Sus scrofa: one gene and its partners. The protein of the gene in region 3 interacts with the protein of the main gene of each other region in a pairwise test. Links are inferred from orthologs where the notes say so. Each region holds a gene or a part of one and is shown on either strand. Other genes may lie near its edges.

Region 1 (3,985 bases), on a different chromosome or scaffold from region 3:
ATTCTCTTGTTACACAACAGAATGATTTAGTCAGGAAAATACCAATTTGGCCCAGAGAATACACTCCTGATTTGATTCCCTGGGTTACAAACACGTCCCACTATTCCAAAGTAGTTAAAGCGAAAGTCTGTGGAAACTGGGTTTTCCTTTTTTTCCAATTCTTAAAAATTACCTTACAAACTATTCATTATCTACAATGATGCATGCTATCACAGCAATTCCAATACAGTAAACATTATCACCTAGTCTGTTCCCAGGAAAACCTGGTGGTAGTTAACTGAGAAATAAAAACACTGCCTGCTCTATCAGTAAGCAAAGGATGTCAGTCATCAGTGATTTCAGCCACCTCCGATGGTGAGCTGGTGAGCCCTGAGCGAACACAGGCAAGAAACACCTGCCAGCCAGCAGCCACACCATATAGTGAGCCCTGAGGAAACTCAGGATGGAAAAACAGGGGATACTGGCTAGAGACAGCTGAGGTGCACATCAAAGACGTTATTTCAGTGAACCCAGACCTTGGCATCTTCTCATACAAAGACATGTGCTGAATTCCTTAACTTGAGGTTATCTGCCCTTCGTTACAGGACCCTCCCCTTGTCACCCTGCAAGAGTTCTCTCTGGGTTACTTGAGATGCTGCCTCCTAGACTTAAATCCTCATTTTGCCCCAAATAAAACTTAACTCACAGTTGTGCATATTTTTTATGTAGACATTTTTTTAGAAAAACACTTACCTTTGATTCTCAATTTCCAAAGCTGAATCAGAAACTGTTGTACAATTGTGAGAATCCATCTTGATATATAGTCTTCAAGCTCCTCTCAAAATTGTCACTTGTCCTTTGCTTTAAACAGACTTCTGACCATATGAAATCTGGTAGATGTGATGTAGTTTCCCTGAACAAATAAATGCCAACAAAACAGCTAGGATCAGAGTAATGCAGATATTGATGTAGTCAATTACGAAAATTAAGACAAAAATGAATGTAAGGCCTTTAATATTCTCATATACAACTGTCTAATTCTAACATCTAAAGATTTTATTCATGGGTTCTTTCAGTTGTGCCTACTTAATCCATCCTATAGAACAAGATTCCAGATTTCCTACAGGAGTGTCAAACTTCTTTTCCCTAACAGTAAAAATGTAATTTTTACCCTTAGCCATACAGTCATGTAGTTACAAATAGTAATGTTCAATTAATGGCCAAAAAGCCATTTGCCAACAGTGGTGGGAACCAAGAAATCTCTTGCATAACAAAGATTAAGTCCCACAAAGGCAGCCTTTGGCCTCAGTATACCCAGAAAAATTATTTGGACTTACCTAAACCTAACCTTCAGGTCTGCAATTTTCATTTATGGCCTCTTTCCCTCACTAGATTTTAAGTTACTGTGAAACCCCTTCCTTGATAAATTACTTCTTTGCTACTATGGGTGTTAACCCAAAGTTCTGAATTCTCACTTTTCAATGTACAGACTACAATAAATGGTGCCCTTTGTCTCCTTTAAAAAAAAATCTCCTTGGAAGATTTTACAGTAGTTTGGGAAAAGTATTAAAGATGTCTTATTTTGTTCTGTTTCATTTCCTTATGAGGATGTCATCATTCTTCATTTTTTTGTGGTGTTCTTAGTCTAACATTCTTAGTAATGACACATGAGTAATGATGAAAGAAATCCTTCAGCAGCAGTATTTGAAATCTAAGAAATCAATAAGATCACCTAGATCTTAAATTCACAATGTCTCATGGACTCGTGTGATAATTTCATAGTGTTTTATTGCAGTTTTCAAAACTGCGTTAACCTAAGAAATAAATCATGAAAACAGCCTAAAAAAGAAATTCAACAAAAACTGGATCCAATGGCAATGATGGAATACCTGACATTAAGTTTAAAATAATTACAGAGCACACTATCAAAATTAAGTAAGCTTAACTCAAAAATGTTTTTCAAGAGTTTCTATTGTGGCTCAGTGGGTTAAGGACGGGACGCTGTCTCCGTGAGGATGCGGGTTCAATCCCTGGCCTCACTCAACGATCCCGCGTTGCTGCAAGCTGCTTGGGTCACAGATCCAAATCGGATTCTGCATGGCTGTAGTGTAGGCCGGCAGCTGTAGCTCCGGTTCAACCTCTAGCCTGGGAACTTCCATATGCTGCGGGTGTGGGGATAAAAATAAGAAAAAAAAACTTTCGGGAACTAGAAAGCATTCCTATCGCTTCCTGTTCCGGGATTCTGCAACAAGGGGCCACGGAGCCAGGCAGTGCTCTTTAGCAGCTTTAACAAAATCCCTTCAACTCTTACTTAGTGCGACCTTGGGGCGAATGTCTCCAGAAGTGCCTAACCTCGTGCAAGGAAAATGGCGTCGGTAACGGTTACCTCGCACTTAACCACCACTAATTGAGAAAACGTGCACTCGCTTCAATACACTTGCACTTCAACACCCACAACTCCGATAACGGCCCACGCGCTTAGCCTGTACCTGTGAGTCCTGCCGCCCAGAGCAGAGCCCACAATCACCGCGAGCCCTCCGCTCCCGCTGAGCCGCGCAGGCGTCCCGGGAAAAGTGAAAAGCGCCAGGCCCTCCCCCTCCTTCGCCCACAAGGCCCCGGCGCCCAAGTCCTCTTTCCTATCCGTCCAGACCGCGGACGGCTTATACCAACCTGTGCCCGCTCTGCGCACGGGTCTCCGTTGGCGTCCTCGGTTGCAGCCCCGGCCTCAGAAACCCGCGTTGGGCGCGCAGGCCCAGAAAACACCCAACCTCCACAAACGCGCGGAAGAAAAGGCTGGGCTAGTCCCGCGTCCCAGCTAATAGTGGCCCCGAAGTCTCGCGATAACAATTTGACTGCAGGAAATAACAGAGAGATAGGAGAAAACCAGACGCGGCGCTCCATATTGGCTGCCGCGAGGGGCGGGGCGATTTAGAGTGGGCGGGACCTGAGCTTTTTAACCCAGGGGAGGCGGACTTGACTGAGGCCAGGCCAGGCTTCTGGTGTACGCGTCCTGAACCGGTAAGGTAAATGGAATAGTCAAGAACGTTTGGGCAAACTATGAAAAAGAAATTGTGGGGGCAGGGGAACGGAATGAATGTGAACTGCGAGGAAGAGCCACTTCTCCTGCTTTGACTCCAGTGGTCTCCCTTTGCTGAGCTGTCCTCCGACTTTCCAAAGTCTGATTCCGGGTGTGTGTGTTTGTGTGTGTGTCTACTTTTGCCTTCAAAAATCTCTTCTGTGTAAAATTGTGAGAGGATCATGCTGTGACTGAGAATCGAAATGTGTAACCTTTGTACTAGAAGCCATTGTTATCCAGTTACGCACTCAGTTCCCTCTCCACCTTCGGACTTGTTTTGTTAACTCAGTCTTTCTTTTGGAACTAAGGGTCAGCCTCCCAGGAGGTGGTTAACACATCGCAAGAGATGCCAGCGGGGGCCTTTTTTTTTTTTCTTTTTAGCCCTCTTAGTTCCCTGAGCGGTAAATGAGTGTTAAGGTAGAAGTTAAACTAGTTTAGTTTTGGTGGCAATTTTTTCCCCCGAAGTAGTTACAAAAAAGGAATGAGCTGTCCTGATTTGTCTACTTTCAGACCTCTTGTATCATATAATAAAACCAGGAAAGCTGTCTCGTGTTAATTTGTGGTTAGTGTCATCTCGGGATAGGACAGACCTGGAAGGTAATCAGGTTTCTTTACTCAATTTTTCTCTAAATGTTGTTCTAAATTCCAGGCGCAGAAAGTCTGGTTTTCTAGGCATTATGAAGTACTGTCAGCTCCAGGACAGGTATCACATGTCTTAGTCACTGCTATATTCCTAGGCAGGCCTGCATATGCAGTTTGTGAAGCTCAGTACAAAATGAAAATGCATGTATTTTATATGCATAACTGATTCACTTTGCTGTAAACCTGAAGCTAATAAACATGGTAAATCACATATACCCCAATAAAATTTTATTCTATTTTATTTATGTTTTTTAGGGCTGCAGGTGCAGCATATGTAAGTTCCCAAGC
Region 2 (3,989 bases), on a different chromosome or scaffold from region 3:
AACCAACCAACCAAAAAAATGACCTTAACAGATACCTCACCAAAGAAGTTATACATATGGCAAATAAGCATAACTTGCAGTGGGTACGGCAAAACAATGGAGTAGTTGGGGCAACTGGCTAGCCCTGAGGTAAATACTAAAATTAGATCTATAATGGATGCCACACACACACACAATTCCAGATAAGCTAAATACTCATGCACGAAAAACACATCTTAAACATTTACATCCCTGCTGGACTGTAAGCTCCTTAACTTATAGTCTGTCTTAGACAACTGTGTAATCCTTCCTATTCAGAATATACAAACACTTAGATAACCAAAAATCTTTTTTTTTTTTTGGTCTTTTTAGGGCGGCACTCAAGGAAATGTGGAGGTTTCCAGGCCAGGGGTTGAATCAGAGCTGCAGCTGCTGGCTACACCACAGTCACAGCAACACGGGATCTGAGCTGCATCTGGGATCAACACCACAGCTCACAGCAATGACAGATCCTTAACCCACTGAGCGGGGTCAGGGATCAAACCCGAGTCCTCATGGATTCTGGTTGGGTAAGTTACTCAAAAGACTTTTTTTTTTTTTTTTAAATTGGGAAGGGGAACTCAAAAGACTTTTTTTTTTTTTTTTTTTTTTTTTTAAATTGGGACGTTCCTGGGCCAGGGACTGAAACTGGGCCACAGCTGGGATCAGAGCCACAGCCAAGATAATACTGGATCCTTAACCTACTGAGCCACCAGGAAACTCCAAGGATTTCTTAAACAGTATACTAAACACCACAAAACATAAAAGACAAAATTGTTAAATCTGTCAACAATAAAACTAAAAACACCTGTGTGACAGAAGACTCCATAATTAAAAGACAAGCCAAAAAACTCTGGGAAATAGATATTAAAGTTTGGGGGAGTTCCCATTGTGGCACAGTGGCTAACGAATCTGACTCGGAACCATGAGGTTTCAGGTTCGATCCCTGGCCTTGCTCAGTAGGTTAAGGATCCGGCATTGCCGTGAGCTGTGGTGTAGGTCGCAGACGCGGCTCAGATCCCTAGTTGCAGTGGCTGTGGCATAGGCCGGCGGCTACAGCTCCTATTGGACCCCTAGCTGGGAACCTCCATGTGCCACAGGAGTGGCCCTAGAAAAGGCAAAAAGACAAAAAAAAAAAAAAAAAAAAAAAAAAAAAAAAAAGATTTGGGATGTGTCAGAACAAACTAAATAGAAAATGGGTAATTGAAAGAGATAATTCATAGAAGACAACACCTAGAGAGATGATAAACACACAAACAAGATGCCTAGTAATCCTGGACTCAGGAAATTGCAAATTAAAATAACGTGCTATTGTTTCACACCCATTAGATCGGGCAAATAAAAAAAATCTCATACAACCAAGATTGTGGGTAATATAACAGGAAATAAAAACTTTCAATGCTCTTACAATCCACTGTGGAGAGCAAATGGCAATAGGTAGTTAATTGATGAAGAACTTCTAGGAGTCTACCCTAAAATTCTTAAGGCAGTGCACTAAAGAATGATAACTGCAGCGCTGTGTGTAAGAGGAAAAAAAGTAACAAAACAGCTAATTGTCCCTCAGCAGGGAACAAACTCCATATAATAGACCTCATAAGCAGTTAAATTAATAAGATCTCCATGTATCCAAAGGCACTTATCAAAAAACCACAGAGTTTAAGGAAAAAAAAAAAAAAAGGCAGGTTACACAAGGATAAGTACCTTATATTTAAAAAACAGGAAAGAAGTGATATTATTTTCCAAATATCTTACTGAAAAAACTCTTGACTTTTCAGTCTGACTCCCTAAACAGGTACAGTGTTGCTTCATCCATCTGCACTCACTGGAATCAAACCTATCCTTTAAAGATCAACTTGAGTACCCCAGTCTGAAGAGATTATTCAAAGCGCTTGGTTTACATCACCTATGTAACAGTATTAGGGGTGCGAAAGACTGCACACTTGCTTAGAATAGGTCTCTTTTTGCATGAATCACGTCTACTATGAGTTCCTTAAGGTTAGGGGTACTGTCTCTGTATTAAATTTAACAAATACAGTCACTGCGTTGGTTGAAAGGGATTAAAAAGTTTAATAAGAGAGGGTTCCTGCCTTGAGGAATCTATGAGTTTATGATGCAGTAGAGAGAGATGGACACATAATTACAGTAAGAGTTATAAAAGCATAAACAGATTATGGATAACAAAACTGGGATTGTATCCCGCACAACGCCTTCCAAACAGCAAGCGTTCACTTTATTTATTACTCTAGTTTATTGGTGGAGGCCAAGGGAAGAGGATGCTTGCTGTAGGAGTGAACCGACAGGCTCTAGGAACAAGATGAGGTGGAAATAGTGTGGGTGTTTTTTTCCCTTCTAGGCAACGCGATTGGATGCGAGTTTGATGGCGAAAGAAATAGGGGGCAAGGTCTTAAGGATCGCTGGGGCTGAGGTGGTGGGCCCGGGGTCGGTTTGGAATATGCTAGGGAAACAAGTAAGATCCGACTGGAAAACAGCTCAACACAGTACCTTTCTCATTGCGAACCGGGACGGCCCCAGCCGTAGACTGAATAGGCGGTTGTTTCATGAGTGCGCTTGGGACCGACATTTTGATGGCAGCGGCGGTGATTCCAAAACTTGACTGATTCCAAACTGTGAACAGGTACAACGTCAACGAACAGAAAATCCTCCGCACCAGAGGCCACTGGACACTGCTGCGTACTGATAGAAACACCACTTACGGCTGAGCTAGAAAAACAGGAAATGTACGACTAGAGGATTGTGGGATTGTGGAGGACGTCAGGGAGCCAAAGTCCGTGGAGTCTGTTACTGCGCATGCTCATAAACTCCCTGTCGACCTTAGTCTCGCGGTATTTGGACGCCACTTCTGGCGGGAAATGGCTCTCTGGACTTTGCGGTTAAGACTCTGAGGTCCGCGGAAGACCCGAATTAAAGGTTTCGCTGATTAGGTTCGTTTGAAGCCGAGGAAAATGGCAAAGTGATGAAGAAGAAACCGAGGAGTTAGAGAAGGACAGTGTGTTCAGATTGTTGAAAGCTAAGAATTAGAGTTAAATCGAAATAGAAATCCTGCTAATAGCACCTGATTTTCTCACTTGATGAGACCGAGCGGTTTGTAGTGCGATATTTTTGGGTTACGTCAGGGCAAGTGGTGCTAATTTAGACCAGTGGCAGGAAAAAAAAATCCCCTAAACGGCTTAGAACAATGCCTGAAATCCAAACACTCTTAGGCGTTTCAGTTCTTTCCTTTCTAGAGACTGCCTATTAAAACATATTCTTGGCTGGAATGGTTGTATATGAAAGTCCATAAGTAATTATTAAGCACTTGCTGTATTTACCTCGTTTAGCTCTAAGGAGTATGGAGCATTGTTAAAAGGCTTATGTCTTCCAAATACTTGAATTTTATTTAGGAAGTCTTCAAGGGCTTTTACAGTAATATCAGAAACAATCCCAATTTACTTGCTGGGCTGTGTAAAAAACATAGGCTAATTGAAAGTCAAAACACATTCAGTGTAGAAAGGATTTTATAACTGCTGTGGTGGGGAGGGAAGGGACACATGAGCAAAGTCTTGAAGTACAGAAATTGCATGGTATATATATTAGACACTATGAAAAGTTTGATTTTATCAGTAATTTTTCATTTGAGGAGTGTGAAAGTTCCTGAAGGGCTTTGAAGGATTCGTTCTAAAATTATTTCATCTGTGTTCTAAAATTGGGCTTAGGCTGGGAGAAATACAATTGAGCAAATCTCCATTAAGGAACAATGGATGACTCAAGTAAGCCATCAAAGGAGCAATTTTGAGCTGGAAAGAAAAGGACTGTAAAAATAGAGCAAATAGAAATTTGTATTATAATTTTATCAGCTTCAAAACCGTGCTATTCAGAAGGAGTAAATCTGATGGGAAGGCAGTTAGTTGTTTCTGCTCACGGACATCTAGAGAATAGAAAAAAAAGTTTGATATGACTGTAACTCTTAAATG
Region 3 (3,500 bases):
ATTTATATCTTCTAATCATAAAGATTAATGACACACAACTACAATTACTGCTGCTATATGTTTAGGAGCCAAAAGCTCTGTGTGGATATACAAGTAGATGTCTACTATGACTCGTAAGAACAAAATGTTCTATAAATAATGTTGTGCACTGTGAATGACCAAATTACACATATTGTTCCCTGATAGCTCTTTAAATAGAAAGAATAACATAACTGTTGCCAAATTCTGAAAGTAGTTGAGAATGGCATTTTCCAAAGTATGTGCTACATAACATCAGTCTACAGAAATATTCATCAGATTAGTGTTAAGTAAGTAGGAAATACTATATACTAAAGCCTGCTTTTGGAGACTGATGGTATTGTGAAATCTTAGAATATTGCTATCATGTAATAGTCTTTAACCCATCATTTCCCAAGATGATTTTATTAAAGAAGGCTTTATTAAGTTTTTTCACATTTGTAAATGTGGGATTCTTTGACATATACTATGAAAAACACTGGTTTCAAATATTTCAAGTTTACCTGTTTTTCAGTCATGACACTGGTTGATGATTTGCTGGATTCCTGGGCTTTAGGGGCTGCTGTAGATACAGTTTCTTTTGTAGAATCAAAAGACATAAAGACTGGCAATAAAAAATTGTGAGTTGCCTAAATTAAAAAAGAAAAAAGAGCATTAAAAGAAAAAGGTATTGAAAAGAACCTACTACTCATAGGCAATTTAAGCATTCCCGTGTCAAACTCTTATAACTTCTAAGAAACCGATTTTTAAGAATTTTATAATGGAGTTCCCACTGCGGCTCAGTGGTAACAAATCCAACTAGTATCCATGAGGATGTGGGTTCAATCCCTGGTCTTGCTTAGTGGGTTAAGGATCCAGTGTTGCCATGAGCTGTGATGTAGATCACAGACATGGCTCAGATCTGGCATGGCTGTGGCTGTGGCTGTGGCTATGGCTGGCAGCTGCAGCTCCAATTGGATCCCAGCCTGGGAACTTCCATGTGCCACAGGTGTGGCCCTAAAAAAAAAAAAAAAAGAGAGAGAGAGAATTTTGTAATTTTATAATGTTCTCTTCTAGAAATAAAACATAGAGTTTTACACATACACACAAAGAAAACTATTTGTTTTAAATAGATAACGTGAAAAGCAAGCAATGCTAACAAATAAACTTATTTTTTTGGAAGCTGCTTCCCAAAAAACTAAAAGAACTGTATCTGATCCAAGGTTACAGGCCAGTCTAACAATTCACTAGATTAACTCTAGGGCAAATGAAGTGCCACATTCTTAGGTGGTCTCTTTTTATAAGTGGATCAAAAGCTAGCAACAGAGGATGCTGTTTGGCACACATAAAATTTATACTCGGTCTACCCTCTCATCAGTACTCTTGCTGCCTAAGACTCTGCCATTCTATAGGAAAAAGTTTTTTTGGATTCTTTGATATCTAATTCCTCCTTTCCAAAGGTACAATCACATACGCTTTCATTAGCATGATGGAATCTTAAGAGTTTGAAAGAACTTTGGTAAATCTCTAGCTGTACATAGCTGGCAGGACAGAGTGTTGGGAGAACTGTACCAATATATCAGGTGCTTTAACTATCTGAGACCGAGAGAAATAAAATGATCTTCCCAGGACTCACTAGAAGTAGGCTTCCCTGCCTCAGTTCCATATTTCTTGCAAAGCATCCTCTGTACTCCTATGACTTCTTCAGATATTGAAATCCAACTAAACAATTTTCTAGTCACCAATAATTCATTTTAAGCTAAACCTAGTAACATGTTACAAATTATCAAATTCTGCCATTTTTGCTGCTTGACATCATAGAGTACTCTCTCTCCTTAAACTGTGGCTTCCTTCAACAACTCAATCACCCACTATTTTCATTCTCCACCCCCCCAAACTTTTTTTTTTTTTCAGCCTTTTCAAGGGCCGCACCCACGGCATATGGAGGTTCCCAGGCTAGGGGTCTAGTCAGAGTTGTTGCTGCCAGCCTACGCCAGAGCCACAGCAATGTGGGGTCCGTGCTGCGTCTGCAACTACACCACAGCTCACGGCAGTGCCGGATCCTTTGTCTTTTTAGCTATTTCTTGGGCCACTTCCGAGGCATATGGCGGTTCCCAGGCTAGGGGTCAAATCGGAGCTGTAGCCACCGGCCTACGCCAGAGCCACAGCAACGTGGGATCTGAGCCGCGTCTGCGACCTACACCACAGCTCATGGCAATGCCAGATCCTTAACCCACTGAGCAAGGCCAGGGATTGAACCTACAACCTCATGGTTCCTAGTTGGATTCGTTAACCACTGAGCCATGACGGGAACTCCCCAAACTTTGTTTTAAATATACTTTTGCAAAATATCAGCCAACTTACTACCTTTTGGCTAGTTTTTAAACTTTTTATCAGAACTTTTCAAAAATACATAGGAGTAGAGAAAGAGTACAATGACCTCTTAATGAAATAAGAGTATTTCATTAATCCAACTTCAGTGATAACCAATATTCTTCCATACTTATTTCTTCTTCACTCATAGTTCAATATACATCTCTAATAAATATACTCTTTTAAAACATAATACCATTGTCACAACCAACTATATTAAAATAATTCCTTACTATCACTTAATATCTATTCCGTGTTCAATTTTCCCCCCAAATGTCTTAAAAAGTCTTGATGTTTGTTTGTTTTTTCAAATCAAGTCCACATACAGCACTCCTAATTTTCTCTTTATCTGTAACAGTCTCACTCATCTTCTTCCACTCTCTCTTTTTTTAAAAAAACCTGCCATATTTGTTGAAAAAATACGCCATTTGTCTTACACAATTAGCCACATTTCAGATTGGGCTTGTTGTATCCATATCATTTAACATACTTCTTCATTCCATATGTTTCTTGTAAAATGGTTACATGTAGAGGTTTTATTATATTAGGTTCAGTATTTTTTGGCAAGAATGCCTCAGAGGTAATGCTGTGTTCTTTCTACTGCACCACCATCAGGACTCACCGAGTTTTAAAGTAGGAAGAATATGTCTGTAGACCAGACATAAGGGAGGCGAATATCAATGTAAGAGAATCCCCAAAGTGTGAGAAGCTACATATTCTGATAATCTTCCCAACAGCCACACCAGATCTCTTTCAGATCTTCAAAGTGTCAGCCCCCTCTAGGTTCAAAGCCCTAGGCGCTCTTATCCTCTTCACTTGGTTAACTCATACTTGACCTTCAGATCTCGATTTAAATTTCCTTCAGGGAAATCCCCCCTGATCCCATGACTAGATTGGGTCCTCTTGTTATATGCTCTTGTAGCACTATAAAGAGTAAAGTATAAAGGCTTAGACTTCACAGTCCAATGGCTTGAGTGACTATTACCTTAATCATTTATTAAACTGTGTGATATGGCCAAACTCATTAACATCTTTGAGCTTTGATTTCTATCTTCGTAAAAGAGAAAACAGAGTACTACCTGTATCTCATAGGTAGACAACATATAGGATTAAGTTAAAAAACATATAGA
Region 4 (4,135 bases), on a different chromosome or scaffold from region 3:
TATTAGGAAAACGCAAATCAAAACTACTCTGAGGTGCCACCTCACACTGTTCAGAATGGCCATAATTAGGAAATCTACAAACAAATGCTGGAGAGGGTGTGGAGAAAGGGGTACCCTCCTACACGTAAATCAGTCCAACCACTGTGGAAAGCAGTAGGGAGGTACCTCAGAAAACCAGATATAGTAGTACGGTATGACCCAGCAATCCCACTCTTGGGCATATATTCAGACAAACTTTCACTGAAAAAGACACACGCACCTGTATGTTCACTGCACCACTATTCACAACAGCCAAGACGTGGAAACAATCTAAATGTCCATCCACAGACAATGGATGAAGAAGACGTAGCACATATGCACAATGGAATACTACTCAGCCATAAAAAAGAACAAAATAATGCTATTTGCAGCAACATGGATGGAACAAGAGACTCTCATACTAAGTGAAGTAAATCAGAAAGAGAAAAACAAATGCCATACATTATCACTTATATCTGGAATCTAATACGTGGCACAAATGAACCTTTCTACAGAAAAGAAACAAACTCATGGACTTGGAGAAGAGACTTGTTGCCAAGGGAGTGGGAGTGGAGAGAGAATGAGATCCTGCCGCACAGCACAGGGAACTATGTCTAGTCACTTGTGCTGGAACATGACGGAGGATAATGTGAGAAAAAGAATGTATATATATATGTACACACACATGTATATATGTTTAACTGGGTCACTTTACTGAAAAGCAGAAATTGACAGAACATTGTAAATCAACTATAATTTTAAAAATTTAAAAAAAAATAAAATCAAAGCTCCTTAACACTCCCCAGATATCTATACATCTGGACACCAGGTTAGAGACCTGACAGGTTTGTACTTAGCACCCCGACAGTAACCAACTTCTCTTGACTGCTATGTTTCAGTACTCTTCTTTTTTATTTTAAGGCCGCACCCTTAGCATATGGAAGTTCCCAGGCTAGGGGTCTTCCCACATTGCCTACGCCACAGCCGCAGCAATGGGGGATCCAAGCCGCGTCTGCGACCCAGACTACAGCTCACAGCAACAACGGACCCTTAACCCACTGAGCGAGGCCAAGGATGGAACCCACATCCTCATGGATCCTGGTCGGGTTCGTTAACTGATGAGCCACAAAGGGACTTCCTCATTACTCTTAAGAGTTCTCTAAATTAGCTATATGATTCCTTCTGTGTCCCTAAATACCCCTCAGTCACACCTGAAAGCAAGGTGCTCCCCCAGCCCCAGCTCCATCCATGACTGATGGAGAGGGCAGGACCAACTTACTTTCTCTTGTCGCTTCTCTTCTTCGTACTCTTTATTGCCTCTGCTCAAGCCTTTCCCTTCCTCTAGCAGCTCCCGAAACAGATCCACAGGGCCAGACCTTGGGGCTCCTGCTTCTGCTGCTTCAAGCGCAGGCAGTGAGTTCTGATGCCTAGCTTTCTTCCGCAGGAATTCCGTGCGGGCCTGGGGGAAAAGAAAGTTACAGGCAGAATATTCAGAACCTAGATGTGATTCAAGGAACAGTGAATCTAGTGCCAACCACAGACGGGGGCTGTAAGGAAGGGAGCAGAGGCACTCGGAGCCAGGAAAGGCACCTGCCCCAGCTTCGAGAAAAGGTGGAGAAATAAGGCAATATCTGGGTTTGCAAGCTACCTTTCAAACAGAAAACCAGAGGGATTCCGAATTTCCAGTGACACAATAAAAACAGCTATTAATGGAGTTCCCTTGTGACGCAGCGGGTTAAGGACCCCGCCTTGTCACTGCAGCAGCTCAAGTCGCTGCTAAGGCTCAGGTTCAGTCCCTGGCCTGGGAACTCCCACATGCGGTGGGCACTGCCAAAAAAAAACAAACAGAAAAACCGCTATGAAGGCAACCAAAACATGTATTAGAACAGGTGATCTGAATTCCAGGTTGGGCTTCGAGTCACTATCCCCGGTTGGTTTGCAATTTCTAGTGATAAATGAGAATTTTAAAAGCCCTAACTATCCCCCAGCCAGTGCTGACCACCAAATTAGCTAAAGGACTGGAAGTGAGGTGTAAATCAAACAGGTGAGGAGTTACAAAGACTGCCTCTGGTGTTTCTGTGTGGCCGGCAGTGCAGGCAAAGGGCTCGCCCGATAAAACTGAATTGCCTTGTTCCACTGTCATTTCGCTGTGGCCTCCTCTCTGAAGGCATCTCACCCCTCTGCAAAATAGAAATGATAGCGCCTCCTCTAAGAATGAACGGTGCTTGAGATATTTTGCAAGTCAAGCGTTCTGCAGCAGGCGCTCACTAAATGGGGACTTTGCGCAGGCAAACTGAAAAGTAGCCCGGGTTTCCTTGAACTACTCAGGGCTTCGTTTTTTCATGAGCTCCTACTATGGCCTCGAGAAGTACAGGAGCGGGGGAAGAGCAAGAGCGGCGAGAGTTCAAGGAGAGCTAATCAAAGCACTAGGAGAAGATACTTCCAAAGCACCCAGCCCCAAATTCCCCACGGTGTGCCCTGCGCCTGCGCGCCGCACCGCTTCCGGTCCCTCCCGAGGAGCCTGCGCGCTCAGCCCCGGAGCCCCGGCCGGGCTCGGTGCTTACCTCTTGCTGAGCGAGAAGCACCCTCCGCTCACGCTCTTTCTCTTCCTCCCGGGCTTGGGCCTCGTCACGCCGCACGCGGGCCACATTGTCCTTGTTCCGGACGTGCCAGCTCTTCTTGGGTAGGATATTCATGGCGCCGTAGCTGTCCGCGAACTGGCAGGCCCGCCTCCTAGCACTTCCGATTGGCAGGAGGATGGCCCCTCCCTGTTGTTTCTGCCTCGGTCACGGATTGGTCCTAGACTACTTGGCACGCCCCCCCGGGTCCGTAGCAAAGGCTGATTGGCTGAGACCCCCACCTCCCATCGCGGAGCATCGCGCGTGCGGTCGCCCAGCGACGGCCTCTCCTGAAGATCCCGAGTCCATCACAAGTGTCCCCGCCCTGACGCTGCCGAACGCAGCCGCTGATTGGCTGACACGCCCACCAGGTGTTCTCGAGGAAATGCCCTCCACACCAACCCTCCCCGGCCAACGCATTTGATTGGCTTCTGTCTCGCTGAAGTCTTGCCCCCGGCTTCCGGACACAAGTTTCAAAAAGCGTTCAGCAGCCTCCGTTGTGTTTATTGATACAAGAAAGGGGTTCACTGGAGAGGCAGCGACCCCCAGGGCTGGAAAGGCATGGGATGTTCTCCAGTTCTTTCATTTTCCAAACGACGCGGCCGAGACCTTCAAAGGATCTGGGGGTGGGTCTCTGTCTGAAAGCGAGACGTCGTCACCCTGAACCAGGCTGGGAAGGTCAAAGAGCTCCGTTGGCCGAGCTCAGTGCCACAGCGCGCTGTGCCAGGAAGACTTTATTCTGTGCCTCCTGGGGTAAAGGGTAAAGAGAGGTGGAGGTGAGACAGATCTCTAGATTCCCCGGGACCCCTTGCCAAGGACCCGGCCTGACTCACCGTCTCTATCTGGCGTTTGAGCTCAGAGATGAGGCGTCCATATGAGTTAGCCAGGGCCACAGTATATGCCATCAGGATGCTAGAGGAGACGGAATGAAAGCCACTCCCCAAACACGCTTAGTGTATCTTCGACGTAAGACTCTTTTAGAAACCAGGGGCCCGGACCTCCTTCAGACTCAAGAAGTCTAGTATCCCAGTTCCCTTCTTCCCGCAGACCCAGAAGTTTGGGCCCCCAGCCCCCTCCGTTCTCGGAAGTAGGACCCCAGATCACACGTTCAAACCCGGATGCAGGAGTCTGGGGCCCTCACCTGGATAACAGCAGAAGGGGCACAGCAAATGCCTGGGTCCCCAGGAAGAAGAGAAAATTCTGGGCAGTCTCGGGGAGGCTTCCGATAGACTTAGGGATCTCGGACCAGATGGACAACTGCCCCCGGAATGGACCACACAGCTTAGAAGGTGGGATCCTGAAGTCAGAGACAGACAGGCAGAGCTCCAGGATGGCCACAAGTCAGAACCTTGGAGGGAAGTGGGAAGAGGGAGGGAAAGAGAGGCAGGTGCCTCTCACACTTACACGAAGATGCCATATAGCACAGGAACGGCGGAGATGGCCAGACCCAGGAGAAGCACCAGGGGGAAAAAGAAATTCACAGTAGAGGCCCGAAATGT
Region 5 (3,941 bases), on a different chromosome or scaffold from region 3:
ATGAACTCCACATTCCAGGTACCACCAGAGAAAGCTGCCAAAGACTACCCTCTAGAGCATTCAGGCTTTTCTTAATTGGAGATACCCTTGATTCAGATAAAATTGGAGTCCAAACCCCATGTATACAACGGATGAACAAGAGCACGTACTGTTTGCTGTGAGGTGGGAACCTGCCGACCCTGTCTTTTTGGCATCACTTTGCCCCCATTCTCATCCCTGACACCTTAAAGACATTCCCAAGAATCCTAAGCTAATGACAGTCCCAAGAATCCTAAGCTCCATGGAGCTCCCCAAGGGCTCTATGGGGTAATTTGAAAACCTCTAGGAGTTCCCTGGTGGCTCAGCATGTTAAGGATCCCCCATGGCCAAAAAGAGAAAGGAAGAAAGAAAATCTCCAATGGAGTCCAATCCCCTAGTTTCACGTGAAGGGAAACTGAGCCTGAAGGAAGGGAAGGGACCTGGCTACCACTGCACAGATGATCAGAGGCAAAACCAGGACTGGAATCCAGGTCTCCCAAAACCCAGCCCAGTCAGGGCTGTGCAACTTCTTGGTTGTGGTGAATGAAGATGATTGGTCCTTGTTCTATTTTGATTTTCTAAGTAAGGCCCCCATCTCCATCTTCCCGTATGAAGCGTGAAGCCAGGCAGGGGAAACTGGGGTCACCTTGCTCCTGGGCCAAATGAGGCTTCGGAAAAGGATCTTTGAGTTTTCTCTCATCTCTGACAGCTCCTTCCTGCCCAGGAGTGTGGGTGGGAGACAGTCACCCACAAACTTTTGGTCAGGAAGGCTGGGCACAGAGGGGGTGCCTGCAGGGTGCAGAAAGTCGATTCCCCTGCATTGACCGCTGGGAAGGTTCACCCCAACAAAAGGCTGCCCATGCCAGGGAGCTATGTGGCTGCCGGGGAGTGGGGGCAAAGGGCCCCAGTCTGCAGGGCCAGGGGCAGCAGCCACAGCTGAGCCTGTAGCCGGCGCACCCGCTCCAGGTATACCACACTCACAAGCCTCTACACGCCTCCGCTCCTCACCACAGAACTACTGGCAGAATCACGAACACAGGATGCATGCAAGCACACTGACGTGCTACATACACAATCTTATGCAAACATCCACATACGCATATACACACCCACGTGCATATAAAACACACAGACCCCTCCCCCCCACTCCAACCCTCACCAAGAGCGTCCATCCACAGGCAGAGGCACGCCCACCACATACAACCACACACACAAAGCACACAGGGCCTGGCTGAGGGGGGATAAAGGAGGCCAGCAGGGGGGTCAAGGGACAGGATGGAGGATCAGACGGAACAAGAAGAAGCTGCTGTCCTGCAAAGGCCAACTCTGAAGACAGAAAATAGGACATTGAAGCCATCCCCAAATTCCCTCCTCCTCACCCATAACCCACTCCTCAGAAGAAGAAGAAGAAGAGAAGGAAGAGGAAGAGGAAGAAGAAGAAGAAAAAGATACATCCAGCCAGGCCCACCCAGCCCAGGACTGAGTGCCAATCCTTGACCTGACTTGAATTTATCCTGTGACCTTAGCCGAGTCCCCTATCTTTGCTGAGCCCCTATGTGCTCATCTAGAATACACCAGTCTCCTGGGGCCTTAGAGGACTGGGGAGCCCTCCCTGACTCCCAGCCTGGCGGAGTAGAGGGGACAGAAGTGTTTTCTGAAAGACCCAGGGACAGCAGAGAGATGAGCCCCAGACTCCAGCACCCCCAGTGGGAAAATGAGGTGGGAGGACTCAGCGAGCGAGGAGAGGCCCCGAGGGTGGTGGGGGAGGGGCCCGGCTCTTACCTCCTTCTCAGCCTTGGCCTCTTCCACAGTCACAGTGCTGTGATTCTTGTGCTCCTGGAACATGCAGAGGTAGCAGATGCAGGTCTGGTCCGTCTGGCAGAAGAGCTCCATGGTCTTGCCGTGCAGGGGGCACTTGCGGGCCTCGAAGTCCCGGATGGGCTCGAGCAGCTGGTGGTCGCGGAAGGCGGCGCCCTCCAGGTGGGGCTTGAGGTGCAGCTCGCAGAAGGAGGCCTGGCACACCAGGCAGGACTTGACGGCCTTCTGCTTGTTGCCGATGCACGAGTCGCACAGGACCTCCTCGGAGCCCGACTTGGAGCGCAGGAGGATGCCCGAGTCGGCCCGAGGGTAGCTGTTCCGCCGGACCTCCCCGGGCTCCATGATGGACACGGTGGGCTTGCGGGGCTCCGAGAAGATGGACCTGCGCGGCTCCCCCTTCTCGGCGAAGGTGACAGGCGGTTTCTTGGCCCCCAGCTGGAGCCCGGCGTAGGGGGACCTCTTGCTGTCCGCAGAGTCCATGCTGAAGTAGCTGGAGGTCTTGTCATCCACGGACTCGACAAACTGGATGATGGGCCGCCGCCACTCGTTCCCGGAGAACAGGGAGCTCTTTCCCTCGCCCGGCTTCAGGGCGCCGCCCAGGCTCTTGCTCTCGGCCGCCTCCCCCGCGTGCCCGTTGGTGGTCTTGGCCTCTTTGCCTTCGGCCTTGGTCACGTTCTCCAGGCTGCCGTTAGGGCCCAGCGGGCTGCGGGCATCCCTGGCTTCCGGGCTGGCCCCGTTGCTCCTGGCGGCGTCTGCGGCTTCCATCGCGGGTCACCTGGCTGGTCTGGGTCGGGCTCCCTGGAGGTGTGGGTGGGTGACCTCTCCGGCGGGCGTCTCGGCGGGGAGTGGGACAGGCAGCCGCAGAGCCCGAGACACACCTTCAGGGAGCGGGGAGGAGGAGGAGCGGAGAGGAGGGGCCGCTGGGGCTGACACAACGGGGCCGGGAGAGGCGGCCGTGGCTCCCGGAGCCAGCAGAGCGGCTAATTATACAGGGGGGCCACACCCTGCACATTCATACCTAACCTGATTTTTTTTAAAGGGTTTTTTTCTCCCCCAGTTTAATTGTTTTCCACGGCTCGGCAACCAGTTGGGCTGCTTCCTTCTGACGCACTTTCTTCTCATCAGGAAAGTGGGAGCCTCTGTCCTCACCCGTGGGCAGGCTTCGCTGAGCCCAGCGGCCCCTGGGGCAGAGGTGAGGTGTCCGCAGAGGCCGACGGGACAGAGGGTTATTAACTGGGTCACACAAACCAAATAGCCTTGTAATCAGCGGGCCTGGGTTTCAGAGGAAGATTGCCCTGCCCTGAGAGAGCGGAGTGGCTTCTCACCCTAAAGGGAGTGATGGGTTCAGTTTGATTTGGATTTTAGGGTTTGGAGCGAAGTGGCTACTCGTCACTGAACTCCTCCTGCCAACTGCCAGGCCCTGTGTTAGGTGCATGACCTAATGATCTCTGGTAATCCTTACAACAACTATTTCAATTGTCCCCACTTAATAGATGAGAACACGGGAGCTCTAAGGAAATAACTCGCTGGCCTAAGTCAAGAGGTGGAGCTGATATTTGAGCCCAGGTTCCCTTTTTCAGCGCAGGTGTCAACAGAGCCACCTGAATATCTCAATGGAAGATGGCTTTGAAAGGCCATGCCTGTCCCAGAAGCCTTAACAAGACGCATACAGATTTTCTGTTAATGCGATCAGAGCAGGTCAGAACCTGCTTGGATACAAAGGCCAGAGAAACAGTAGTGAGGGGCAGGAATGCAAGCAGTGCCAGCCAGGTGGCTGTGTCCTCGGGGCCCAAACACTTCATTCTCATCTGCCTCCACGGTCAACTTGCTATGTGACTCAGAACAATACCTGTCCACCCTCTCTCTTCCAGGCCATAGGCAACACCCTCTCTCAGATACTCTCAGAAGTGACAGAATATGACTATCATACAATCCCAGACCTCAGGGAAAAAAAGAGAGAAAAACTAAAGACTCTAGACTCTTCCTCTCTCTGACCACCTCCAGGAACACTGGGGACCCTCCACTCCTGCCAGGATAGGCCACCTGGTCCCTTCTGGGCTGCGACCCACTGCCATGGTCCTGGGAATCCAACACCCCCAGCACAC
Region 6 (3,500 bases), on a different chromosome or scaffold from region 3:
GAACAACTGCCAATAAGGCTCAGTGTGGTGACCACACTGAGTGCCGCTTCCTCTGGGCGAGGGCAAGGCAGACATTGCTAATCAATCACAGCACCCTTTCCAGGGGCCCAGACTGGCCTTCCAGGCAGCCATACCAATCGCTCGCAGATGATGTCCATTTGTGACTCCTGATTGAGGGAAGTGAAGGTGCCTGATTAGCTGGAAGTGAAGGCTGGGATGATTTCCTGTGCTTGAGGGTTTGAGTAAGAGCTAGGGGACCTTAAGTTAGGTTATGATGAGGGTTGGGAAAAATTACAAGTTATATGGAGTTTGGTTCAAAGATTAGAGAAGCAGATGTATTTACTAACCCCTCTCTGAGTGTAATGTTTCACCCGTTCACCGGGCCGTCACATTCCTTTTTACAGAAATGCGAGGGGCTCTTTTCTTGGGGCCCAAAGATAGAACAAGTGGAAGTGGTCCCGATGGCCAGAGCTGCCAGAGTTGAGGGTGTGGGACACTAGAGCTGGGCCAAGCCTGCCTCTGGGGGCCAAGTGCACGTCTCATCCCAGCCCTGTGTTCAGTCTGTCACGTTAGTGGCTGAAAACCAGCCACAGTGGGGCGTATTCACAACATGGCTGTCAACACCAGCTACAAAATCAGGGCTTTGGGGAGAGCCTGTTGTTAAACATTTACCGCACAGCTGGTCGGGGGGCTAGATATTCACAAGGCCTCGTCTGAGGATGGGAGGTCGTAGAAGGTGGTGGAATGTGGCAAAGTAGGAAGTCGCTCCTGATCAGGGGAAGCAGCTGCCTGGCCAGAGGGAGGCGGAGAGGTGATCAGGCCGGTGCTGCCGGCCCAGCGGAGAGTGTGTTTACCTGGGAGGGGAGGTGAACCCAGGGAGCCGTAAGCAGAGGATGTGTGTTTTCAGAGCTCTGCTTGGGGCCACCAGGAGAGGATGGGGTGCTCGTCGCTGACAACTGGAGTGACCCCCAGGATTTCCCAGGGCCCTGGGGCTTCCCTAGCCCCTTGTCAGAGACGTGACCTGGCAGACGGATCGTTACATGCATTGGCGTTGACGATCGTAAATAGCCAGTCAATAGTTAGATCACTTTGGCTGTTCATTACTTCATTATTTGCAGGGGCCTCTGCACGGAGGAGTATCGATAGCGAGATGGCTGGCCAGTTAATTACTGTATCGAAACAAGGTTCCCTTGTATCCTCGGCTAGGCTCCAGGGGACTGTAACAGCGGGACAGGCTGTCACCCCGAGGGTGTGGTCACTCATTCCCAGGCTCTCGGTCCCTTCCCTCTTCTAGCTGCCAAGGGGGAGGCAGGGTCCAGGGCAGGTTCTTAGAGCCTTAGAGGAGTCGCCATCCCCCAGTGTAGCATATTTGCAGGATGGGGTCCCCCAGTTTCACTGCCGTTCCCCATCATCTGTAGCCCTGAAAGGACTCCATCCCCTTGCTCCCTGGAAGGAACTGTGTGCTAAAGAGCCATCCCTAAGGACCAAGGAGGCTGTACTGCCCCTTGTCTACATTTCTGTCTCCTTTCTTAGGAAGGGGAGAGTCTGTGGCCCTGAGTGGGTTAAGAGGAAGGCCAGCAGCTGGAGTGGTGCTGACAACACCATGGCCCCAGCTAGGGGTGGCTCTTTACATGAGTTACAGTGATGGAGATGCAGAATGTAGGAGTTCCCTTTGTGGCTCAGTGGGTTAAAGACCCTACATAGTTTCTTTGAGGATGCAGGTTCAAATCCTGGCCTCACTCAGTGGGTTGAAGATCCGACGTTGCTGTGAGCTGTGGTATAGATCTCAGATGCGGCTCGGATCCCGAGTTGGCTGTGGCTGTGGTGTAGGCCAGCAACTGCAGCTCCAATTCAACCCCTAGCCTGGGAATCTCCATATGCTATAGGTGCGGCCCTTAAAAGCCAAAAAAAAAAAAAAAAAAAGAATGTAGTACATCAGAAACGAACTCAACATTATAAGTCAACTATACTTTCATTATAAAAAAAAAAAAAAAGAACGGGGTTCGCAATTGCCCTGGCCACCTTTTAGGCCCTCAGTAGCCAGTTGTGACAGTTGTGGCTGCCACCCTGGGTGGTGTCTCCGTCACCGTGGAAGGCACCGTCCCAGAGGGACCAAAAGGCTCCAGCAAGCCCGGGGGGGGGGGGCGTGCCCTGAGGGTGCCGAGCGTCCCTGGGGTGGCCCTCACTGCCCCGCCTTCCCTCCCCCCACAGGAGAGAAGCCCTTCGAGTGTAAGCTGTGCCACCAGCGCTCCCGGGACTACTCGGCCATGATCAAGCACCTGCGGACCCACAACGGCGCCTCGCCCTACCAGTGCACCATCTGCACGGAGTACTGCCCCAGCCTGTCCTCCATGCAGAAGCACATGAAGGGCCACAAGCCCGAGGAGATCCCGCCCGACTGGAGGATAGAGAAGACGTACCTCTACCTGTGTTACGTGTGAGGCCAGCCTGCGGCCATGGCGGGGGAGCAGGAGAAGCGTTAGAGCAGGATGACGTCCAGAAGGACTGTGCAAAAACCACCACAAAAAACAAAAAGCAAACAAAAAAAGAAAGAAAAAGAGAGAGAAGGACAAGGGAACCTGGGGGCTGTCTGGCTCTGGATTCCCTCTGGGGCTCCAGGTGACCTGGCTGCCTGGCCGAGCCCCCTGCCACCCGAGGGCCCGGCCCTCCTTTCCCGGCTGGAGGTCGGCCGTCTCTTCTTGGGTGGGGGGTGGGGGGGATTTTGTTCAGCTCAGATGGTGGGATGTTTTTCTCTTCCTTCCACTCAGATCCTCCTTTTGTGTCCAGAGTTGGCGTCCAGGCGGGGAGGGAAGGATTCTCTGGTCGGAGTCAAACCATCTTTGCCTGCCGTCCTCTCACGACCCCTGGGAAGACGGGGCTGAGGAACGGGTGGGGTGGGAGGTTGCGGAGAGGGGGCCTGCAGGCGGTGGGGCTGGGCTGGGTCGCTGGTTGATGCTCACAAAGGCAGCTCTGGTTTGCTGGGGGCAGACAGGGGCAGGGAGGGGCGCCTCTACGCTTCCCCCGCTCCATCCATTGTTGGCTCTCCTCCACTCAGCCATGCCAGGTGGCCCCTCCTGGTCTTCAGGGCCCTCTCCCCCAATCCTGTGGCCCCCTGGCTCCCCTCCTCGCCCCTCCCTTGTGGACCAGGGGTGTCTCCCTCCTCCCAGTTGGGAAGCTGTGAGACTCCAGAGCCCCTGCCGGCACTCGTGGCTTTCTGAGAACGTGGACGAAGTCAGTGGAAGAGCCCACCCCATCCAGCCCTGTCCTGAGCGAGATTCCTGCTGAGCTGCTTCTGCTTCTAGAGTGGAAAAAAGGAGCAACTTGATACACACCGTCCCACCAAACACACGCAAATCCCTACAGCCCTCCTCAGCCCCCCGGAGGAGGAATCCGTGAAAGGGTGTGTTGCCCACGAGGGCCTGGGTGTCTTCCTCCAGAGGCACCTACACCGGGCGGGGACACCTGCCCTGGGAGGGAGGTGGGGAGTTGTGCTGGGGACC
Region 7 (4,191 bases), on a different chromosome or scaffold from region 3:
AGTGACAGCCTCACTTAATTCTGGAGTAGCTTTTGCTCAAAGTCTACATAAACAGCTATTACATTTTTAAAAACCACACACTGGAATTCCCACCGTGGCTCAGCGGAAACGAATCCGACTAGGAACCATGAGGTTGTAGGTTTGATCCCTGGCCTCGCTCAGTGCGTTAAAGATCCGGTGTTGCCATGTGCTGTGGTGTAGGTTGCAGATGTGGCTCGGATCCTGCATTGCTGTGGCTGTGGTGCAGGCTGGCAGCTGTAGCTCTGATTAGACCCCTAGCCTGGGAACCTCCATATGCTGCAGGTATGGCCCTTAAAAGCAAAAAAAAAAAAAAACCAAAAAATAAAAAAATAAAATGAATTAAAAACCACACACTGATTCAAAATATCATGGTCTATAACTCTGATCTCAAACTTAGGGAGAAAAATAGTAATTCTTCTTACTTATGTCATCTCCCTTTGAAGTTTCTCCACATGTACCCCAAAAGTGCTTTTAAAAAGGGGGGAGGGAGTGGTTTGCAAACGAAGACACATGGGTATGCAAAAACAGAAGGTTTTTTAAAATCACCTTTACAGTTAATATTATTTGTCAATTATCAGCCTCCAGAGACACAATTAACCATAAAGATAACTTTTATCAATTAAGCATTAAACACTTGTTTGAAAAAACAGAAGTTTTTCTCCCATTTTGCAGCATGCTCATACAGCAGTAACCAAATTGGCACAATTTAAGTGCTCAAAGTATGTTACATTTTCTCCCTCAACTTATTATCACCTATTGATCATCAGCTTTCTGTATTAAATTCCAACTTTCTTTCCTTCCCAGGGAATCCTAGAGCAAAGCCAGAAGGGTTGGGGTACCCTCCTATGCTAACACCATACCCTTTATTAAACCATAAAGAGGAGTTCCCACTGTGGTGCAGAGGAAACGAATCCGACTAGGAACCATGAGGTTGCAGGTTAAGGATCTGGCATTGCTGTGAGTTGTGGTGTAGCTCTCAGATGTGGCTCAGAACCTGCGTTGCTGTGGCTGTGGCGTAGGCCAGCAGGTGTAGCTCTGATTTGATGCCTAGCCTGGGAACCTCTGTATGCCACAGATGCACCCCTAAAAAAAAAAGCAAAAAAAATTTTAAACCATAAAGAGAGATGCATTTGCTTAAAAAAAACATACAAGAAGCAAAAACAAACAAAAAGCCCCCTTAGGATCAGATGTGTTTAGAATTCATAATTTTTTAGAAAGGAATAGTCTGCATACATCCTGCAAATAACACCCTTTCTGCAGCAAAATATATGTACAATCACACTAAATGAGACACAAAAACTGTAAATAGCCTCAGAACAGTTTAGAACAGGTTCTGCCAAGAAATAAGTTACTAAAAAACACACATTTTCAAGAACTCTTTGTACTTGGGGATTGCAAAAAGGAGACTGTGGGCCTATTCCAAGACACCAGTACTATTTGGTGAGCCTTAACATAAATACCACCTATCAATGTAGGTCATTTTGGAGACATTAAAAAATGTAAATATTTGAAAGCCTCTGTGAAGAGAAAGATTTCTGCAGAAATGAGCAAGACCACCACCCAGCGTTCCAAATATTTCAAGGATAATCTGCCAGGAAATGAGTGGAGGATCCACAGAGAATCACCAAAAATTAAGATGAAAGGGGAGTCTTAAAGGTCATCCAATCCAATTACCCAGCTATTTGAATCCCTAATCATCTCTGCCCATCCCTTCCTGGCATGACCCTGGAGCTCAGCTCTCCTCTACTGCTTTCACCAACTACTTCCCATCTTACTCCAGAGCAGATTAAATTGCTCCACTTCCCTCCCATTAATCTTTATTACTGCCAAGTAGAGAATTTACTAAACCCTTCTACAGTTATTTAAATGTCTGTTTTCCTCTCAGACTCTGATTCCTTAAGCCAGTGATCATGTCTAATTAATTTTCGAGTCCTCGGCAACCAGCACATAGCGAAGAGTCAATAAACGTTTGTTGAACTGAATTAGATTTGTCCTGTAGTCCAGGCTCTGTCATTGCCTAATTGAGTGGCTTGGGGCACTCCCTTAAGCCTCTGCTTAGCTGAGAAAAGGGATGGGGGTGTCCCTAGATGACATCGTCAAGTCCCATTTAATTCTAGGAAGTTTCCGATTTACGAACTTCATTTTCTAGGCGCTGTCCAACTAAGCACATAAGGGAAAACCGCAGCTTAGGTGCAACAGGCCTGGAAGGGATCCCTCGGGAGTGGGCGCTGCTTCTCTACCACCCAGTCCTCTGCTTTGTTGTGTCCTCCGCGGGGAAAGGAAGGATACTCCCCAAACCCCGCCTCTCCTCCTATGAGCATCACCATACGGATGGGAGGGGACTCGTGCCACCCAATCGCGGTCCCGCTAAACCGCGCCCCCACAGGACAGACTGCCAAGCCCCGCCAATCAAGAGAAGAGGGATCGTTCTCTACATCCAGTCGGAGAGCGGTAGAGCCGGGCCTAGACACCGCCCCCACACGCGGGGAGGTGACCGTTGGGCCCAAATGGGCGGTGTCGCCAGCCAATCAACATGCTTCTAGACGTTTCAGCGACCAATTGCCGAGAAGAACGCCTCCGAGCCAGGCAAGCAGAGGGCGGGAATAGGTGCAAGCATAGGCCGAGGCCACAGTCGGGCCCACATTTTTCTGTTGGGTATGGACAGAAGCGAGGGTTGCTGAGCTAGGTTCAGGGAAGCGGGAAGTTGGAACCCAACCACTGTGAGGCGTGGCCAACTGCGTCACTCTTCTCAATCGACTGCCCTTTAGAAACCCGCCATCCCTCCTGTCCCGTTCCTCTCACCTTCCTTCGCGGCATTGCCGGCGGCTGCGGCCCGACGGTTCCGATTCGGGCAGCGGCGGCAGCAGCAGTGGGAACGGTGGCTCCGGCGGGCTCCGTGGCGGCCTCTGTAGCAGTCCCAATCCTGCGGACGATCCCAAGTGCCTCCTGCTTCACAGCGTCTAGACCTTTCTGCGCAGGCGCCGCGGGCTGAGGCGCTTTTTCCTCCACTTCCGGCTGAGGCTTGCGTCACCTGACGTTAGGGCCAGAGAGGATTCTGGGAGGTTTCCCCCTCCGGTGAGGCTAGCGGGAGCCATTTTGGAATTGGGCAGAAAGTGGCAGCGACAGTGGAAACTGGGGCCCGCCATTTTTAGTTAGGGGAATGGCATCCTCTGTAGGCGTGGGTAGCCATTCCTGTTTGGGGCAGAAGCCTGACAGTTGAAGTTAACAGTTCTCATCTTTACAATGGGCAAAATTTCCCTTCCCTTTGGTTTTAATTTCTGAAGTCGAGGAAAGAAAGCCCCAGAATCCATCAGGTTGCTGAGGTTTAACCCCTTAGTCGCCGAATTGGCTAAAGGACGTTTCCCTTTATCACATAAACTCAAAATTGGGAAGGGCTATTTTGCACAAGAAACTATTTTAAGAGCCATTCGGTGTCTCACAGTGCTGGGAATGGGGGCTTGTGAAAGGACAGAAAGAAGGTAGCGTCCTTCATGAAGAAGTTTCTTGTCTGGTAGAGGAGACATTGTCCTTGCCTTTAGCGAACCGCAAGTATGTTGATCCGTTCACTCGCGAAAGGAGACACAACCATTCTCCAGAAACTGTTGCTCCAAAGAATTACCAGTTTAGCTCTGTGGTGAGCACACCCACTTCGTCCCCTCATCCTGTATGGGTTTGAGAGCCTTGGGTGGCCCTCGGGATGAGTGTGTGTGTGTGTGTGTGCGCGCGTGCGCGGTACCAGAGTTGGAAAAGCATTGAACCCCATTAGCCCAAGTGACCTCTCGAAATCCAGACGCTTGAGTCAGGAGTTGGAGGAAGAGGAAGGAATATTTTTAGTAAAGCTGGAGCTCAGAAAGGCATTGATGTTAGCTGCCTAGAAAGGAGAAGTTGGTGGAAGATGTAAGGTTGGCAGAAGAGCGGTAAGAAAAGGCTGAGAAGTGAACAGCAAGCGTTGAGGATTTAACCTCGCTGGGAGAAAAGCCTTGTGTGGAGTAAAGCTTTGCCCAGAGACTGGGAGGAAAAAAAAAAAAAAAAAATCCAAGAGTCATTAAGTTAGGATCCTGGAGCCCGTTTCACCTGAGGCTAGCTAAGATGGAGATTTCCCCCTGGAGCTGAACTAAAGAACAAAGCAGCAGAAGGTAAACATCTGATTGTTGTGCTAAGCAGAGGACT

The links.
Region 1: the proteins of CEP70 (region 3) and TAF1D interact in binary tests that used the Homo sapiens proteins (3 or more experiments, as listed by UniProt). The link is inferred for Sus scrofa from reciprocal best matches to the Homo sapiens genes CEP70 and TAF1D.
Region 2: the proteins of CEP70 (region 3) and MFAP1 interact in binary tests that used the Homo sapiens proteins (3 or more experiments, as listed by UniProt). The two-hybrid records come from large-scale screens. The link is inferred for Sus scrofa from reciprocal best matches to the Homo sapiens genes CEP70 and MFAP1.
Region 4: the proteins of CEP70 (region 3) and LENG1 interact in binary tests that used the Homo sapiens proteins (3 or more experiments, as listed by UniProt). The two-hybrid records come from large-scale screens. The link is inferred for Sus scrofa from reciprocal best matches to the Homo sapiens genes CEP70 and LENG1.
Region 5: the proteins of CEP70 (region 3) and TRIM29 interact in binary tests that used the Homo sapiens proteins (3 or more experiments, as listed by UniProt). The two-hybrid records come from large-scale screens. The link is inferred for Sus scrofa from reciprocal best matches to the Homo sapiens genes CEP70 and TRIM29.
Region 6: the proteins of CEP70 (region 3) and ZBTB16 interact in binary tests that used the Homo sapiens proteins (3 or more experiments, as listed by UniProt). The two-hybrid records come from large-scale screens. The link is inferred for Sus scrofa from reciprocal best matches to the Homo sapiens genes CEP70 and ZBTB16.
Region 7: the proteins of CEP70 (region 3) and KAT7 interact in a two-hybrid assay, tested with the Homo sapiens proteins (2 studies listed by BioGRID and IntAct). The two-hybrid records come from large-scale screens. The link is inferred for Sus scrofa from reciprocal best matches to the Homo sapiens genes CEP70 and KAT7.

Annotation. Positions count from the first base shown.
Region 1 is NC_010451.4:26,164,483-26,168,467, forward strand, and holds the start of TAF1D (TATA box-binding protein-associated factor RNA polymerase I subunit D), read right to left. Parts: upstream 2,801-3,985; 5' UTR 2,650-2,800; intron 893-2,649; 5' UTR 792-892; coding exon 733-791; intron 1-732. UniProt on the Homo sapiens protein: Component of the transcription factor SL1/TIF-IB complex, which is involved in the assembly of the PIC (preinitiation complex) during RNA polymerase I-dependent transcription.
Region 2 is NC_010443.5:127,740,218-127,744,206, reverse strand, and holds the start of MFAP1 (microfibrillar-associated protein 1), read right to left. Parts: upstream 2,801-3,989; 5' UTR 2,600-2,800; coding exon 2,521-2,599; intron 1-2,520. UniProt on the Homo sapiens protein: Involved in pre-mRNA splicing as a component of the spliceosome.
Region 3 is NC_010455.5:79,359,441-79,362,940, forward strand, and holds part of CEP70 (centrosomal protein of 70 kDa), read right to left. Parts: intron 648-3,500; coding exon 522-647; intron 1-521.
Region 4 is NC_010448.4:55,969,250-55,973,384, reverse strand, and holds the start of LENG1 (leukocyte receptor cluster member 1), read right to left. Parts: upstream 2,801-4,135; 5' UTR 2,715-2,800; coding exon 2,583-2,714; intron 1,478-2,582; coding exon 1,298-1,477; intron 1-1,297. Other genes in the region: TMC4 (transmembrane channel-like protein 4), read right to left, coding at 3,316-3,384, 3,470-3,548, 3,778-3,933, 4,041-4,135.
Region 5 is NC_010451.4:47,281,305-47,285,245, forward strand, and holds the start of TRIM29 (tripartite motif-containing protein 29), read right to left. Parts: upstream 2,801-3,941; 5' UTR 2,602-2,800; coding exon 1,801-2,601; intron 1-1,800.
Region 6 is NC_010451.4:41,831,536-41,835,035, forward strand, and holds part of ZBTB16 (zinc finger and BTB domain-containing protein 16), read left to right. Parts: intron 1-2,211; coding exon 2,212-2,441; 3' UTR 2,442-3,500. UniProt on the Homo sapiens protein: Acts as a transcriptional repressor. Transcriptional repression may be mediated through recruitment of histone deacetylases to target promoters. May play a role in myeloid maturation and in the development and/or maintenance of other differentiated tissues.
Region 7 is NC_010454.4:25,969,766-25,973,956, reverse strand, and holds the start of KAT7 (histone acetyltransferase KAT7), read right to left. Parts: upstream 2,801-4,191; 5' UTR 2,192-2,800; coding exon 2,159-2,191; intron 1-2,158. UniProt on the Homo sapiens protein: Catalytic subunit of histone acetyltransferase HBO1 complexes, which specifically mediate acetylation of histone H3 at 'Lys-14' (H3K14ac), thereby regulating various processes, such as gene transcription, protein ubiquitination, immune regulation, stem cell pluripotent and self-renewal maintenance and embryonic development.